Linked DNA regions of Astyanax mexicanus. The protein of the gene in region 1 interacts with the protein of each later gene in a pairwise test. Links are inferred from orthologs where the notes say so. Each region holds a gene or a part of one and is shown on either strand. Other genes may lie near its edges.

Region 1 (9,081 bases):
ATAAATGGATGCATATAGGCCTGTATCGATAACTGTTTTCGGACAATGTCTTGTCCCAAAAACTATGTTCCTGTCATTTTTAACCATATCCTGCCACTGATGAAGATAATACTATAAATAATAATAAATTAATATTTAATAACACAAATAACACAATCATATTAGATTTTAATATATAAACGGGTATATGTCTGAGTAAAAAATATGTTGTTTTATTCTATAAACTACTGAAACACATCTTACAAATTCTAAATAAACAGTCATTTAGAGTATTTATTTGCAGAAAATGAGAAACGGTCAAAATAACAGAACAGAACAGTGCTTTAAGCCCCAAAATAATGCAAAAAAAAAAAAAACACATTAAAATTCATTTAGGAAAAATAATGTTTTAAGAGCTCAGACTAATTGAAACTCGAAAACAATAGTAGAGATCTAAACAGCTTGGTTTTCGTGCACTAGAAAAAAGCACTGTTAAAAATCTGTTACACACACATTTATTTCTACTTTATATTTCAGCTAGTATTTGTCCTATTTTATTGTAGAAAATGACAAATTAGTATTTGTGTTTTTATATTATACTGTATTATTTTACATAATATGTTTATGCTATGCCTTTCAGCATTTTATTTAATGCACAAAATGTTTAATAATATTAATCATTATTAAGCAATATTTTATAATATATTCTTACTGTTGAAAGAACAAATGAATAAATGAATGAATAGTGTGTGTATATTAGAGAGGAGTAATGGTAAAGGCAGTATTGAATAACCTGTTTCTGTCCAGGTGTATTCCTCAGTCTGAGTCTCAGCTTCAACTCGGTTCTTCTCCTTCTTCTTCCGTTCGTGAAGCTCCACACTCAGCTTCTCAACCTACAACACACAGAACAGAGAGTCAACTTATATTAAATCACCTTTTTAAGCTACAACCATACCAGGGGGATGAGCTCATTATGGCTTATTACTACAGCATCCTTCTTTCGTCTATCAATGTGGTATGAATGTGGTTTCATAAGGCACCTTATTTTATTTTATTAACGTGAAGTAATATGATAAGCTGAAGCAGTCATATTACAAAATGAACCTAACCACCGATTTAAAGTTCTCATTCCATTGTGTTTTTTCCACTTTATATCATAAAATCTGAACAGCACCTGCCTTGACCAGTGTTCTGCCAAGTTGTGCTGCCTTGTCAAACAGTGCTTCCCTAGTGTATATTTAAGGTCTCGGTAAAATGCATAATCAACCAGAGATACAATTTAGACCTAAAGTTATTTACCCAAGATAGCTATAAACAGAGCTGTAAGGGTGTTACCTGCTGTCTCAGGTCCTGGTTGTAGCTCTCTGTGCTTTTCTGGAGTCTCACGCTATGGCTGAGCTGCTTCTGCACTTTCTGCAGTTCACTTTGACATTCCTTTAGCTCCCTCTGCAGCCTCTCCACTTCTTTTTGCAGAACAGCAACCTCACATCCAGACTCATCATCCTGCTGGCAGGATATATCAGACACTGGTTCTGCTGTTTGTGGACAAACTGACTCATGAACAGATTCTTCTCCTTCTTTTTCTTTCTCTTCTTCTTTTTCTTCTTCATTCAGGGCCAAGGACTCAATATGACCACCATTAGTTTTCTCTGCCTCTACACTCTCCTCAGTGGACTTGGAACTCTCCTGCATCTCCTGATCCACCGGATCTGAGGTGCAGATCTCCTCAGCATCACTGGCCATCCCGCAGTCTCTCTGCTCTCTAACAAACAGTGAACAGAGTATTCAGACTCACAAGTAAGGCTGTATACTGGAAAAACTTAGAGATATATCACAATACAGGGGTTATGATTCAATATACTGCAATATATTATGATACTGTTAACCAGAGATGTGAGGTAACGAATTTGAAGTGATAAATCTCCACTGTCTCGGTTATAACTACATATTACAACATTTTAATACTTTTGTACTTTAGTAGTATATTTTATAATTAACTACTCACAATACTTAAGTTTATGACTTGTTGAATATTTCAGTCCTTTCACTTAGGCGTGGTGCTACTAAAGTATTTTTTTTTGATGGAGCACTTGACTTTTTTCTCAAGTCTGAGTCTCTAGTACTTTATACAAGTCTGCATATTTCAGCAATGAAATATTTTCTTTGTTTAAATCAAATTTCAGGGAAAAGAAATGTCTGGCATAGTAGGGCTGAGCGATATCAAGATTTCAAGAAATATCAATATATTTTCATACAAGACATAAGATGAGACAATTTTGTTCATATCGATATGTTTATAATTAACTACTGTAATTGCCTTTCAGATATTGATGAAAAGATTCTCCTAGAAAAACTAGGCTATTAAAATATACAGGATATGGTATTTACATTGGTATTTTACATGGTATTTTACATTGTACTTGACTATTGTAAGTCGCTTTGGACAAAAGCGTCTGCCAAATGTAATGTAATAATAAAAGTGGCGGTATAAATTCTGGAACATTCAGATTTGTCTCAAAAGTGTCTTTTTGAAACTACCTTATGGGGTAGAATAAATATAGAGACATATTGTAGATTTTTTTTTTCATATCACCCAGCCCTACTAGGTACAAAACAAACATATTTGTAATATATTGAGTTTTCAAAAAAAGTTATCTTATGGTATATAAGGCCAAACAGTTCTCCCCATGTATACTTTTCTTAAGCAATTTCTTTAGACGCATTTTTATTTCAAAGCATATTGTGTTTCTTTATGTGTTCCTTGTTTTTAGTCTACTCTAAGTGGGAGGAAAAACATTGATTAGAAAATCTGTTTTAATGTGTGATAAATAGCAAACATTCGATCAAAAAAGCTGTATACAAACATCATCATTCAAACATTAACATTTTGATCTCAACATATGATCTCAAACATTATAAAAGACGTCAAAAAGATAATTTGATAAATTATGCTTAATATTTTTTCTTGCATGGATACACATTCACAGTTTTTGTTTTTTGTGTTATCTGGAATTTGATAGTTTTTTTAAAGGTTTATCTTTGTTATTTTCTTTTATATATTACTAAGGCAGAGGGTTTATTTAAGCCTTTAACATGTTTTTTTGCCTCTACCTGCACTGTATGTTATATTTGCATTTTGTGTTTTCTTTTTTATTCTGCAAAAATAAAATTCTAATTAAAAAACTAAAGGCAAACATTATTAGTATTATAAAACAAGCGGAGATCTACAGGGAGAACCTACCTTTACCTGTAGTAATATTTTATCTTGGGTGTCTCTATTTTAACTGAAGTACTTTGCTAGGTAACCTATAAGTGCTATATTTTGTTATTTACATATTTAGCTAGGTTATCTTGCTATATGGGTTATAAATGGGGGTTGTATTTTGGTTACACTTTTTTTTGCAGGGTCGGCTGTCTGCCTGTGTTACAGATATAAACTGGCTTTATTTAGAGAATGTTAGTATAGTGGTTTAAGCTTTAATAGAAGGAAATTTAATCTGTATATAAAAGTAAACATGAAGTAATAACTAAAGCTAACTCAGGAGGAGTTGCTGTGTTAAAATGCAGCAGATTCTCTCACCGTTTAGCCGAACTCCTCTCTCCAAACTCTCCACTTCACCACCGCCACGACCCTCAGCTCAACCTGCGAATCACACATAAACATCTTAGGACCACCCAGCGTCCGAAACACACCCCAGTACATGTTAGTTTGATCAGAAAATGAGTTACAATCAATCAAATCGATGTGTTTATAATCCACTCCGAGCCAGGCTGCCATTTTAACTCAGCTCATTTACCCACGCAGCGCGGCGCTACTGATCTACTGCTCTACCGCCCCCTGCTGTTCCGGAGGAGAGAGGATCACACTTTTCTTGACAATCACATTCATCAAACATGTTAAAAATGAATAAATAAATAAAATAAAAACTAAAATAATTTGGGGCAGTTACTTCATTTGAAAAAAAATATTAATTCGAGATTTTAATAATTCGTTTGGGATGGTTGGATTGAGACTCGATCTCCCAACCTTGTTTACTACAATTTAAGACTAAACATTTTCAGTTTGGTGTTGTAGACTGCTATTCTTTTTACTTTTTTATATATTAAAAGGTACACACAAAACACAAACACTGTCCCACACAGTGACAAATATTGTGACATTGGAGTGCTCCCATGATGCTTTGGGGTGCCCGTGCTTTTTTATTTGGCGAATAAGTAAGGAATTGTATTGTATGTTTGTTAATCAGGTTTTGTGGTGTTAGTTTGTGCTGAAGGAGACGCTTTAATGAGGCAGGTTTCTTTTTTTTTTGTCACTTTGGAACCTTACCACTCACTGTCTTTATGTAAATAGGTACGGTGGTATCGTGCCTCAAACATCCCCGGAACCTGACCTACATATCTCTGCTTAGTTTCTGGAGTGAAAATGGGCGCAAAAACAGATTTAAAACAGCGTGTGTAGGCACACCTGAATGCAGTTTCCGCTTTATAAATCACAACCTGCTTGAAAATATGCGCAAATTATCCAGCCTTGTGTTCCGCTTCCGTACCGCCCAAATTTACCACGCAAATCATTAAATTAATATTATATATGGGATTCCACATTCATCCTGAGAGGGATAGCGGAGAAATGCACCGCAAGTAAGTTACATTTAGGAGACTGTGAAGTAGAAATCCTTGTTTTGGAGGTCGAGGCGAGGAAGAATGTGCTGTTTAGTGGTTTTAGCCGACATGTGTCTGCAGCAGGTGATACTGTAGCTCCACAAGCTGAACTGTTACAGAGTAACACTAGTCTCTAAAAATCTGTGCCCAACTCAGCACACAGTTCAATAAGAATGACTACTGGAAACCTAAATCGACTCATTATCATCATTCACAAAAAAATCTTTTATGATTCTACAAATCGACAACATTAATAATAATAAAATAATACTACTACTAATAATAATAATATTTACAAAAATATTTACAATCATAAAAACAATAATAATAATAATAACTACAAAAATAAATACAATACTAATGTTTGTATGTAGCACCTTCCGATTTTTTAAATTGTGAAACAAAACAAACCAGATAATAGAAATAAAATAGAAATTATTTACGAGTGACATTTACAAGTTAGCATTAAAAATAATGGCGAATAAGATATCGCAAGCATTGAAACTTTATACATGCAGACAAAAACATATTTGAACAAGTATATTTATATTTTATTATATTTAAACTTCTTTAATCTTACGTTTTTAATTTTGATACATGCAGTACGTATTAATATGCGTGAGGAAGGTTTACGCATTTACCTGCAATTCCGTGCTTTACCATATGATGTCACTAATTGCCGCTCTCTCCGCAATTTTTTATGGAATATGGTCGGCCTCAAACCTTGCTTAAATATACGCCAAATATTTCTTTATAAATCACAGTTGTTATGTAAGATGTTGCGCACGCACATTTCAGGCTTGTTTTTATATGTACGCACCCTTTATAATTGAGGCCTACGGACTTCCACTTTGTAATGTATGTTAGTCTTCTTGAAAATCAACTCAGAACACTGTAAAAACTATATATATCTTATATAATCTGATGTCAAATTGAAAAGGGAAATATATGGGGTTTAACTATTATTTTAGGGAATTCTAAGTAGTTTTTTTTTTTGCACTGATCACTTAAACATCTTTTATAAAACTTTAAACTATAAACTTCTTTCTCGTTTGGGTTGGTACGATGTTGGGAGTATGAATTCACCTCCCAACACTGTCCACTAAGATTTAGTTAAGACTAAACCTGTTCAGTTCCCAGCTGGCATTTCAACGTTGAATAAACGTTGTATCAATGTTAATCAACGCTGAAGTTATGATTGAATCAACGTTATGATATAGCAACATTGTTTCAACGTCATACGTTCAACCTTTAATAAACCATAGCTTACTTAAACTAGAAAATCCTATGGTTAACAAAGTGTTAACAATAAACTTACATCATGAGTATATAAAGAATGTTACTGTCCACTACCAATCTGATTCAACATCTGTTCTCAAAAACACTAAAACAGTAAAACTATTAGAACATGAACATGATGTTAAATTTAAAAAGCAGTTACTGCAAAAAGAAGTAAAACACTTTTTCAGTCCAACCGTTTTTAGAAATTATATGGTGATGTAATGTAAAATGCTGATTAAAAGGCAGAAGGTTGAGGACATTTTGTTGATTCAACGGTAAACTTTTAAACGTTAGCACAACCATTTAACATTAAATATTTGATTCAACTTTGTTTTAACGTTAAAACAACAACATACATTACTTTAGTCATATTTCAAGCACATTTTAACGTTGAAGGTCGGTTGTGTGCCAGCTGGGTTTGGTTTTGTGCCCTCTGTAGACTAATTTTGCAATTTACCTTATAGTACCAATTGAGATGCATCCATGATGCAACAGCACCTTACACTTACATTTACTGCCAGAAGGGGGCAGCAGAACCACGTTTAATTTTTCAGAATCAAGTGAACAAGGCCCACAAGGGTTAAGAGCAGCTTGGGCAAGTCAGGCAGATCCTCCAGAGTTCTACTTTACTACTTCCACATCTCATAACGTCTCCGAAATATCTCAGATAGCCGCTCCGCTGGTTCCGGACGCAGCCCGTAATGAGGAACGTCTATCAGCGCGGCAGCACCTGTTTCGGGCCCTGAGCCGCTAATGGCGTTCGCACGAGTCGAGCAGCGAACGGAGCGGTAATAGGAGAGAGGCGAGGACGGGAAATGGGAGTTAAACGGCTTGAGTTGCTTTATAGGGATCGTAATGAGAGAGGGGTGGAGAGACGGAGAGAAAGAGAGAGAGAGTGAGGGACAAAGAGGCGCGGGGGAACCGAGTGAGGGGAACCGGTGAATGGATGGAGAGGGGCTGAGTACAGGACGTGAAATTTATGACACCTCTCCTCCAGCTCTTGTGTTAAATGGCCTCAAAGTATAATTGACATTTGCATGAAAAGCGTGTGAGGGTGAAAATGAAGGGCGCGCATTGCGCATCATCCCAACCAGCAAACTTTTAATAGCTGTGTGCTAATGCTAAAGTGGGCGGCATTCACTTCTGTGAAATGTCTCAGTCAATGATTAGCCACTTTAGCTACTTTAAGTTGCATCCACTGCTGATACACATTGATTTATGCTTGAGCTTGTCTAGATCCTAAAGCGAAGTATTGCCAATAAAACCAGACTAAAAACAGGAACAGGCATTTGATATAGGCTACATTCACATTACCAGGCTGAAGTGACTCAAATCTGTTTTTTTGTGGCTCAGATCTGATTTTTTCATGGCTGTGTGAACGTGCCAGATCCGATTTTTTCAAATCAGATTAGAGCCACTTTCATATGTGTTCCTAAATCAGATACGCATTCGATCCATGGACATGTGACATGAATGTGAACAGTCAAAACAGAATTCATACGTCTTTTTGCATTAACGCATGCACTACATGCGTCTGTCACACCTTTAGCCTTGTGTGTCTTGTATTTTTCAGTTCCTGTCCTGCTTCTCTCTTTGTTTAGTTAATTTTAATCTGTTAAGTCTTCTTAGTGGTTTTCCTTATCTAGTTATCTTGGTTAGGTTTTCCTTGTTTTTGTAGTTTAGTTTACTTGTGTTTAATTGTGTTTTTACATTTAACCAGAGGTGGAAAAAGTACTGAAAATTTGTAGTTAAGTAAAAGTACCTTTACTTTGCTAAAATTCTACTCAAGTAAAAGTACCCATCTAAAAATCTACTTGAGTAAAAGTAAAAAAGTACTCAATTTAAAATTTACGTTGAGTAAAAGTTACATAGTTACTTTTAATTATTTGATGTAAAAAAGTACAAATCATAAATTAAATATTTTTAATGAATTATTATTCCAAATAATAATTTAGACCTTTCAGGCAGTGTTTGTTCAGACCACCCCATAAAACATTTTTAAGAACAAGTGGCATAGGTTTCTATGATCTATTATTTTTTTCTTTACTGTTAAAAAGGTAAAAAGTATGGTCATATGTGACTATAAACCGTATTTTTATAGTTTTACAGTTCATTATTATTTTTTAACTTGCCATTGCTATGCTTTAACTGTTATCTGTTGTTTGTTTAACATTTAAGACGATTGTTTAATGTTCCCAATAAAAACTTATCATTAAAACAAATTATCATTATCATTAAAAAGGAATTATCATTAAAAACAATGCTTCCCCCAGCTGATTTAAATAGCTTCTCTCCCGCTAACCGTAATAAACACTGCTGGAAAAAGTTCAGCTGCGCTGCCATGGACAACAATTATTTTTTTTTATTCAGACATTCAGTCATTTTTTTCCCAGCATTTTATTTTTTACTCAGTAATTGGGAGTTTTCCAATGTAGTGAAGTAAATTGCTTGTGTCAAAATGTAAAAGTAAAATTACCTATTTTAAAAACTACTTAAATTACAGTAATGTGAGTAAATGTAATTCATTACTTTCCACCTCATTTAACTACCCATTTTCCCCGCATTTAACTACCCGTGTTTGCTTTCAGTTTTTCTTTTTCTTTTTTTTTTATAAATTTAATACCTTCAATTACGTCTGTCTTCTCACCTTTCCTCTGTGACTGCTTCTCTCTCTCTCATACCCACACATCTCTTGCTGCAGCTGTGCAGCTAAAGCTGTAAAAACAGCAAAAGCAAACTGCCTGCCCTTTTTTTCTCCTCCTCAACCTGAACATGTACTTCAGATCAGCTGTTTTCTCTCCACTCATGTAAAAGATAAAAAAAAGGTCCACATATGAGCTGCTAACACATCCATTTCACCTTTATAAAGCTCAAGCCGTCTCTCAAATATGTTTTTTTTTGTTGTTGGTGAGGAAGGAGATGTTTATACACTTATTAATGTGCGCATGTGAGGCGTTTCAGGGACAGATTCGTCCACATTACACACAGATACAGGTCACTTACATTTATGACTGTAAACTGTCACGATGGCCAAATCTGATCTGAGCCAAAAATTGGATTTGAGCAAAGTGGCTTTGGCTAAAACGGATTTGGCATGTTCACACAGCCATAAAAAAAAAAATCATATCTGAGCCACATTGAGCAAAAAATCAGATTTGAGTC
Region 2 (8,776 bases), on another chromosome or scaffold:
AGGGCTTGCATGCGCATGTAAGCTTTTTGTTGCTGTATGGACAAAAAAAATCAAATAAGAAAGCAGGAAAATGTCAGTTTAAAGAATGCAAGTGGAACTAAAGTGTTCAAATGTGATTGGACATTGCATATATTAAATGTTAAATATATTACATGTGTTAAAAATAATGTATCTCCATTTGGATTTTTTAACTTTTTCCGAAAAGTTGCTGTTTGGAGATACAAGCTTATATGTACTGCATTATAGTATTGTTTCTTGTCAGCCTCACTGAACTGTACCTTAATTTATCCAGAAACTATTCATACATCTCATTCTGGAATTTAAAAGGATTATATTTATAGTCTTTGCCTCTGGGTGGAAAAAAATAATCTGATCCTTTTTTAACTCTCTACTGATTTTAAATAAGCATCATTTTTATTTACATAATTGTGTTACATAACAGTGATATTTATGAGCTGATATTCATGTTACCGCCTTTTCTGATCCTCTGTATATCACATTAACTGTAATAATAAATGAAAAAGACTATTAAAGAGCTGTGAGTTGTGCGCTTATTTTAGACTTCAGTTCAAGACAGTATTGTGTACTACAGATATAAAACTCTGGGATATTTTTATTTGAGTAGACTCTGCATCCACATAATGAGTCCTTGTCTAGAGTTCTGCTTTGATGTGTCTGCTTCTTCACTGTCCTTCATGTGCTTCCTCTCCTGCTCCATCTTCTTCCTATATTCCTGGTCAGCTTTCATCACATTTTCTACCTCCCTGTTTGTATTAAAATGAACCATCTGCAGACTCATTAGAGGCACAATCAGGTTGAACGTGTCCACTTTTTTGTTGAGCTTCTTCAGATCATCTGTGAAATCTGCACAGTGCTCTTTCCACTGCAGCTGTTCAGAGTGCCTCATGGGGCTGCCAAGCCGGGACCGGACCTCCTGTAGTCTGTCCCGCAGCTTCTTAATGGTCTCTCTGATCTCCTTCTGGGCCACTATCCATTCAGGTTGGTAACCGTTGTCAATAAGGATCCTGTTCAGGTTGTGTGTCATGGGGTCAGAGAATGGGTTGTGGTCAAACTTGCTGAGTGGCTTACCAGCGCCACTCAGGTTGCGGAAGTCACCCCGGGCCATGGACTCCTGGATGAGGTCCTCCACCAGACGCTCCACAGCCTGCGTGATCTTGATCTGCTTGCTACGCATGCGTGCATCCCTAACCACCATGGCACCCTCCTCTGCTGCTGCCTGCTCCATGCGTTTACGCCGATATTCCAAGACCTGGTCTGTGGCCCTGTCCATCCTAAACTGCCGATACTGCCGCTCACGCTGGCTGGGTGTTCCAGAGCCCACGCCTTCAAAGCTGAGGTACTGCCTGTGCTGAGGGGCCTGGTTTTTAGTCTTGTCTTCCTCATCCTCATCCATCTGAGCATTTGATGACGCAGACCTCCGCCGGGCCAGGTGGGCCACTACAGCCCTGTAAGCTTCCTCTATGTGGCAGAACAATGCAGCATCTGCTGTTGGGGTTCCAGAGTCTGGATGATAGAGCTTGGCCATACGCATATAGGCCTCCTTTACTTCTTCAGGGCTGCTGTCTCCATCCTCAGGCAGCTGCAGGATGCGGTAGCTCTCTCTCAGGTTGCGGCTAAGTCGAGAGGCAGAGCAAAGCAGGCGTACGGTCGCAGCATTGTAGATGGGCAGCAGGACTTTATGGAGGTCCCCAGGGTGCAGGCGGAGCAACACAGAGCAGCTCATTGTGCTTTACACCAAAGGAGATTCTATAAGAAAGGAAATAATAGTACATAATTAAAAGTGTAATAAAAAAGCACTTGTGCAGTATAGAATTTATAACAGCACATGATTAGAAAAAAAGTACTAAACCAGGGCATCCAATCTTATACACAAAGCAAACGGACAACTGATTCCTCTGAAGTTACCAAGGTCCCTATTGTAACGTTCTTTGGGCCAGCCGTCAACCGTGTACGGCGCAATTGATTTAGGGTGTCAATGTGTCTTTGCTATCAGAATGACAGGAAAAGTACAACTTGTGCAATTTAAATGTTTAAAAAGCATATACTAATACTCTTAATTAATCATGGACGAGTTTGAGGCATAATGTGAAATAAACCAATCATCATGTCACTTGCCATTCCCTTTGAGAGCCAGGGTTAGCTAACCTAGCTCTGTAAGTTAGCTAACTAGCTAGCTACCTCAGTTAGGTTAGCTAGCTATCGCTGTAACTAACTAGTTAGCTAGCTCTGTTAGGTTAGCTAGATATCTTTGTTAGTTAGCCAACTAGCTAGTTAGCGCTGTTAGGTTAGCTAGCTAGCTCTGTTTGATTAGCTAACTAGCTAGCTACCTCTGTTAGGTTAGCTAGCTAGCTCTGTTAGCTAACCTAACTAACTTGCTCTATTAGGTTAGCTTTATAGCTCTGTTAGTTAACCAACAAGAATAAAATGTTGAAGTTGTCGACTAAAACCTAAAAAAACGACTAAAACTTAAAAAAAAAAGAACGAATAATATATAAATGACAAAATTGTGACTAAAACTAATTTTACACTAAAACTAAAATGCGTTTTATTTAAAAGACTAAGACTAAAACTAAATCAAAATCACCTTTAAAATTAGCAAAGATTCCACATAATCTGACAAAATGTACGTTATTTTTGAAAAAAAAAATATGATGATGATGAGGTTTGATTACCATATAGCGTTATACTATTTTAAAGTGTAAGTAAGACATCTGTGTAGAAATGGGAATTCGTTTAATTGAAACCTTCTGTCAGAATACGTATAAACGGAGCCAGGCATGCAGGTGGTAGATTAACCTGCAGCAACTTGATTATTATTAGACACAGTCAAACCTGTTACTCTCACATCAGAACAAGTCAGTAGTCCTCTGACCCAGATTCCAGTAACTCAGTTTTATTTATTACAGTCAGAGCTGTTCATAAATCCTAAAACACTGTCCAGTCCAGCAGAGATTTGCAGTATTTTACCAGTCAGTCAGGTGTAGCTTTCTTAACCTAGCTAACAGAGAGCTAACTAACCTAACCTAGCTGTGTTAGTTAACGTTACTGAACTGCATTTAAACAACACGGGCAGCGTGTCGCTACTCTATACTACACTATAAGCTCAGCTAACTGAGCTTTAAAACACAAGGACAAGAGTAGGTGACATACCTCAGTTTATTCTAAAAGCGCTTCCATTTGTAAAACGGCCGCTTATCTAAATGTCCTCAGATACCGTACAGACACGGTGGTTTGTTGTGGTTGGAGCGGGTGAAATGCATGCTGGGAACTGTAGTTTTTATTACGTATATTAAACAGTGACAGAGTCTGTTTATAGAGAGAGTGCCCACTCCATATGCCCCATTGATAAAGCGAAATCCAGCAATGACGCTGTAAAACAATCTTATACGAACTAGCTAGTGTAAATCAAAACCACATCAGTTATTTTGTAAGTAAATAAAGAAACACAGAAATAATGAGAAGATCTACATAACCATGAATTGGCTTCGAGCGTTTTAAAGCTTTTTAAGTAATTTACAACAAAAGGTTTAAATCTTTTTTAAGTAGTTTGAAAACATATTTTTAATATAGGTTTAAATAATTTAAATCACTTGTCAAAAAGATTCATTTTAAGTTATTTGAATCAGTTTTCAAAAAAAAAAAAATATTAATTTTAAGTAAGTTGAATCAGTGAATCAAAAAATATTATTTTTAAGTCGTTTGGAACGCTAGAGGGCGCCCGCGAGTGAGTACTCAATGAAAGGGTGTGAATGGAGCTAAACGACTAAAACTCTGATAAAACATTTTTCTAACTAGTACTCCATGGTATTCCTATAATTTTGGAAGGTAAATTAAAGTATTTTGCTAAAAAAGCAAATAATTTTATCTGTGTATTTCCATTTTTGGACAACAAATGAGTTTTGGACAACAAAGCCGCTAGCATTACTGCTACTGTGGGCTGACTGGTTGATAAGCTTAGGCTGAAGTAACAGCCAGAGCTCGTTTAAAAGGCTTCTAACTTCGGTCCAAAAGCAGAATAACTCATGTTATGAGAGCATGGATATATTTTTATCATAAAATATATAAAAAGCTTTATAAACTACAACTTTGCTTAAAAGTTTCCTCTGACCCTATTAATTTTAAGCTCACTCGAGATCGCCCCCTAGTGTCTGTGACAAATTCTCGAGTGGGTATTCTCTTTTGTAGAGGTTCTTTGGCTGTGCTATATTAGTTAAACACCAGAGGGCGCCACATATCATGCAGAAAATACAGTTCGGGAAAAAATAAAGAGACCACTTCAGTTTCTGAATCAGTTTCTCTGATTTTGCTATTTATAGGTTTATGGTTGAGTAAAATGAACATTGTTGTTTTATTCTATAAACTGCAGACAACATTTCTCCCAAATTTCCAAAAAATATTGTCATTTAAAGCATTTATTTGCGAAAAAAGAGGAATAGCTGAAATAAAAAAGATGCAGAGCTTTCAGACCTCAAATAATGCAAAAAAACAGATCATATACATAAAGTTTTAATAGTTCAGAAATCAATTTTTGGTGGAATAACCCTGGTTTTTAATCACAGTTTTCATGCATTTTGGCATCATGTTCTTCTCCACCTGTCTTACACACTGATTTTGGGTAACTTTATGTCACGTCTGGTGCAAAAATTCAAGCAGTTCAGCTTGGTTTGATGGCTTGTGATCATCTATCTTTCTCTTGATTAATATTCCAGAGGTTTTCAATTTGGTAAAACTGAAACTCAAAATTTTAAAGTGTTCTCTTTTTTTGCAGAGCTGTATTTATTCCCTTAAACTAAAAGAATTACTATAGCCTATATTATTACCCAGAAAACATGCCTCACATGCGAATGTTGTCTGCGTATGTATAACATAAATTGGTAGATAACCCAATAATTGTCCATTAGTTACATTAGTGAACTTATTATGATCTTTATTAAATTTTACAGTTTAAATAAATGGCACAAAAATAGTAAGTGTGATATTAAGAGATATAATACATCAATGAAACTAAATTCATATTTAGTACCAGATTTTATGAACTAACATTCATCATAATTGTGTGGGAGTTGGCTGTAATGATAGATATCCAGATGGTTTAATTACAGGCTAGATTACTGGCTGCGTAGGGCTAATGTGTGTTAATAGGGATTTTCTCCTGGATTGATGTCAACACAACATTTGTGAGAGTAGAGAACTGGAGTAGGGTCTGCCCCATACAGTCAGTGTGGTCTATCCATGCATATTCAGGTCATGTTCACATCTGTGCTCCCCTGGGTCCTAAAGAGTCTGAGTAGCTTCAACACTCAGAAATTCAGAAATAGGTTACTGGTGTCTGTTGAAGTCTGTTATAATCAGAGCACTTTATGCTATATTATATATAGCTGTGAGTTATATATAAACATCCCAAACAAGTGCTTTTTTTGACCTCACAAGTGGGTGATGTGTTTAAGGGCCTCACCAGGGCAATGCAGGATGTGTGCGTGAACTAGTGACCAATGGGAGCATTTTAACGTCTAGAAAAATCAATTTACTGAGATCAATCTGGTGAAGTGCTTTTCCGCCAGTTCCATCTGTGTTACATAGACCAGGACACAAATACACAGAGTCACACTCGGGTCTTGTCCGACAACAGAGCAGGACATACCAGAGCTGGAACATGACGAACTTTACAGAGGAAGATCTGGAACATTACTTACAAAATCAGGTACATTGAGGTTCTGCACTAACTGATAACTTAGTGATATCTGAAACAGTTTTTAAAAAGAAGGTTCAATTCTTTATTCAAACAGTTTGAATCAATTTTTGAAACGTTAGAATTAAAATCAGTTTAAATTATTTTTCAAAAAGATACATTTTAGTAGTTAAAATATTTTTTTTTAAAAAAGTAGTTTGAATATGAAAAATATGTATTATATTTTAAAAGTCTGTTAAATCAGTTGTCAAAAAGATTCATTTTTAGTAGTTAAAAATATTCAATTTTTTTAAAGTAGTTTGAATATATCTTTTAAAATAAGTTTTAATCAGTTTTCAAAAATATTAATTGTAAGTAGTTTGAATCAGTTTTCAAAAAGATTATATTATGTGTAAAGTAGTTTAAATATTTAAAAAATATATTATTATTTTTAATTGTTTAAATCAGTTGTAAAATTATTCATTTTAAGTAGGTTTGAAAAAGATTATAATATTTTTAAAGTTGTTTGAATATTTTTTTGGATATTACTTTTTAAAATAGTTTGAATCAGGTGTAAAAATGGTTCATTTTAAGTAGTTTAAAGCACTTTAAAATATATATATTTTTAAAGTTGTTTGAATCAGTTTTCAAAAAGATTCAAATCTTTATTTTTACTAAAAAGAAAATGACTGTAGCACGCTAGAGGGCGCCCGCGAGTTTAATACTTAATAAATGGGGGTGAATGGAGTTAAACAACTAATTCTCCATCACACTCCTTTAATTTTGGAAGATAGAATAAAGTATTTTTCTAAAAAGGACTGTCTATTTCAGTTTTATATTATACTGTGAGCTGACTAGATATCTTAGAAGTTAGGCTTTATTTTTGCTTGGTAAAACTTTATAATAAGGGTAACAAATATACCAGTTCTTACGGTAGTATAATGGTCATTTTTTTTCACTAAGCATTTGATATGTTTATGTTTATGGTAATTGTTATACAGCAGAGTGGTGATTTATTTATTATAGTGTTTTCCTCTCAGGTGGACCTCAGGCACAGACAGGTCTCCAAATCAGTAGAAGAAGTGCAGAAAATAATCAAAGACTTGACCACTGAGGTCAGCTCTAAAGATGCTCGCTTCCAATCCATCTCCAACTCTGGAGTTCACAATGACTGTTTTAAGGTAAAGCTTTTTCTCATCACTTTATCTGTGCATTGATTTATTAATTCTAGTACATTTATATACTGTAGCTTGTTTTTGCTCTCTCTGTAGGATCAGCCTGCTTTAGCATCAAAATGGGCTGCGTTACTTCGGGGAAGGTGTACCTTAAATCCGGCCATTCAGGTAAGGTATTTCTGATGTGACAGCGTTTATCACTCTTACAATATCTCTTATAAAATCTCTTACATCATATATGTTTAAAAAATTTAGGATCTATAACTAATAAAAGGAACAGAAATAATACCCTTGCTCCAGCGGAGCCACATTTACAATATTATAAAAACTAGTGCTGTCAACATTTACATGTTAATTACATGCATGCTACTAATCTGGAAACTTTACACTTATGCAAATTAATGGTAACGTTTTTGTGGTTTATTTATTAGTAAAATTATTTTAATCACTAATAATTACAGGATATTGACATCATTAATCAGATTTTTTAAAAATGATTGACAATTATATGTTTTATTACTTAACCCTTTGAGTAACGGTGGTCACTGTAAGAAACCTCCTAAAAAGGACGTTTATATATTTTCTGAAATTTTGAATTATTTCTGGGGACAGTTAGCATATAGCACACAGGAAGTGAGGTAAAAACTGTATCTTTTGTGTAAAACTGGGTCTGGCCCTGCTAATACTGATGTTTTGATAAGTCCAGTGGGTATATTATATGCTTATTTGATATTTTATTTTTTTAGAGCATGTAACTCAACCTGTAAGGAACCCAATCAAGGAAAACATATTAAAGTTATCATAATTAAATACAAATTGCAAAAATGATATATTCAATGCTTATACTTAGTTGCAATTTGTCCATATCGGTCAATCTGACATTCTGAAAGGAAATCTCCAGCACTGTAGATAAAACTGTCATTTTTTTGTTTGCTTATAACTGTATATTTATCTGTCTATGTCACTATAAATCTGTCACAGCTTAAATACTGCATGTTTAAGATTTCAACAGCCTGTTGCAAATCATGCTTTGCACTGTATTAAATATTTTGAGTGTACTTATCTTATATACAAGCTCATGACTTTTGTACAGACATATATAAATTACTAGAGAGTCAGACTTGAGTAAAAGTACTCTATAAGTGCTCTGTGGAAAAAGTCACTTATAAGTTGAAGTGTTCGTTAAGCCCCACAGTATTTTTGGAAGTATTAAAAATATTTAACATTTTTGTACTTAAGTATTGCGTAAGTAGTGTATTGTAAAATGTAGAACTGGAGTACTGAAAGTAAAAGTACAGTGCTGTGTTATTAGTGTAGTTATTACAGAAAGCAGTGGAAAGTTCTCAGAGTGAATTAAAGGCAGAACGGGAGCAGCTGCTCTGGCTTTAGTGATAATGCGAGTTTGGAATGATTCTATGCATCTCTGCTTCTGTACCTGCAGGTGCTGACTCCCACTCTGTTCCTGATCTCTGTGCCCGTGCGTGGCCTGATGGCCTATAAAGAGAGGCAGGCGCGGCAGTGGAGGTACTACACACTGAGCGGGTCACGCCTTCTCTCCCCAGTGCGAGATCCAGAGAAGTTGCACCAGTGGCTGGAGCTGGAGAGCTTCGCCAACGCCTCTCAGGAGTGGCATGACTCCCGTGTGATCATGGAGGGGGATATCGTTCCCGCTAAAGTCGTCACTGTATTTAAGGAGCAGGTACAGGCTGCTATTAAAACCTGCAAACTCACAGGTGAGATGATTTTCTGTATGAAGGTCTAAATTGATTTTGTATAAATACAACTATATCATAAATAAATATATCATCTCAAAAATACTAGCTATATATACCTTATGTATATGGATCTTGGCAAAAATGCTAGTTACACATGTAACTGTGGTTCTATGATGTTGCATCATTGCTCTGGGATA

What was found.
Region 2: the proteins of aggf1 (region 1) and mab21l3 interact in binary tests that used the Homo sapiens proteins (3 or more experiments, as listed by UniProt). The two-hybrid records come from large-scale screens. The link is inferred for Astyanax mexicanus from reciprocal best matches to the Homo sapiens genes AGGF1 and MAB21L3.

What each region holds. Positions count from the first base shown.
Region 1 is NC_064424.1:23,657,549-23,666,629, reverse strand, and holds the start of aggf1 (angiogenic factor with G patch and FHA domains 1), read right to left. Parts: upstream 3,798-9,081; 5' UTR 3,709-3,797; intron 3,623-3,708; 5' UTR 3,560-3,622; intron 1,742-3,559; 5' UTR 1,723-1,741; coding exon 1,315-1,722; intron 873-1,314; coding exon 773-872; intron 1-772. UniProt on the Homo sapiens protein: Promotes angiogenesis and the proliferation of endothelial cells. Able to bind to endothelial cells and promote cell proliferation, suggesting that it may act in an autocrine fashion.
Region 2 is NC_064418.1:7,060,151-7,068,926, forward strand, and holds the start of mab21l3 (protein mab-21-like 3), read left to right. Parts: upstream 1-5,301; 5' UTR 5,302-5,674; coding exon 5,675-5,722; intron 5,723-6,729; coding exon 6,730-6,870; intron 6,871-6,960; coding exon 6,961-7,032; intron 7,033-8,305; coding exon 8,306-8,597; intron 8,598-8,776. Other genes in the region: dnajc28 (dnaJ homolog subfamily C member 28), read right to left, coding at 614-1,744.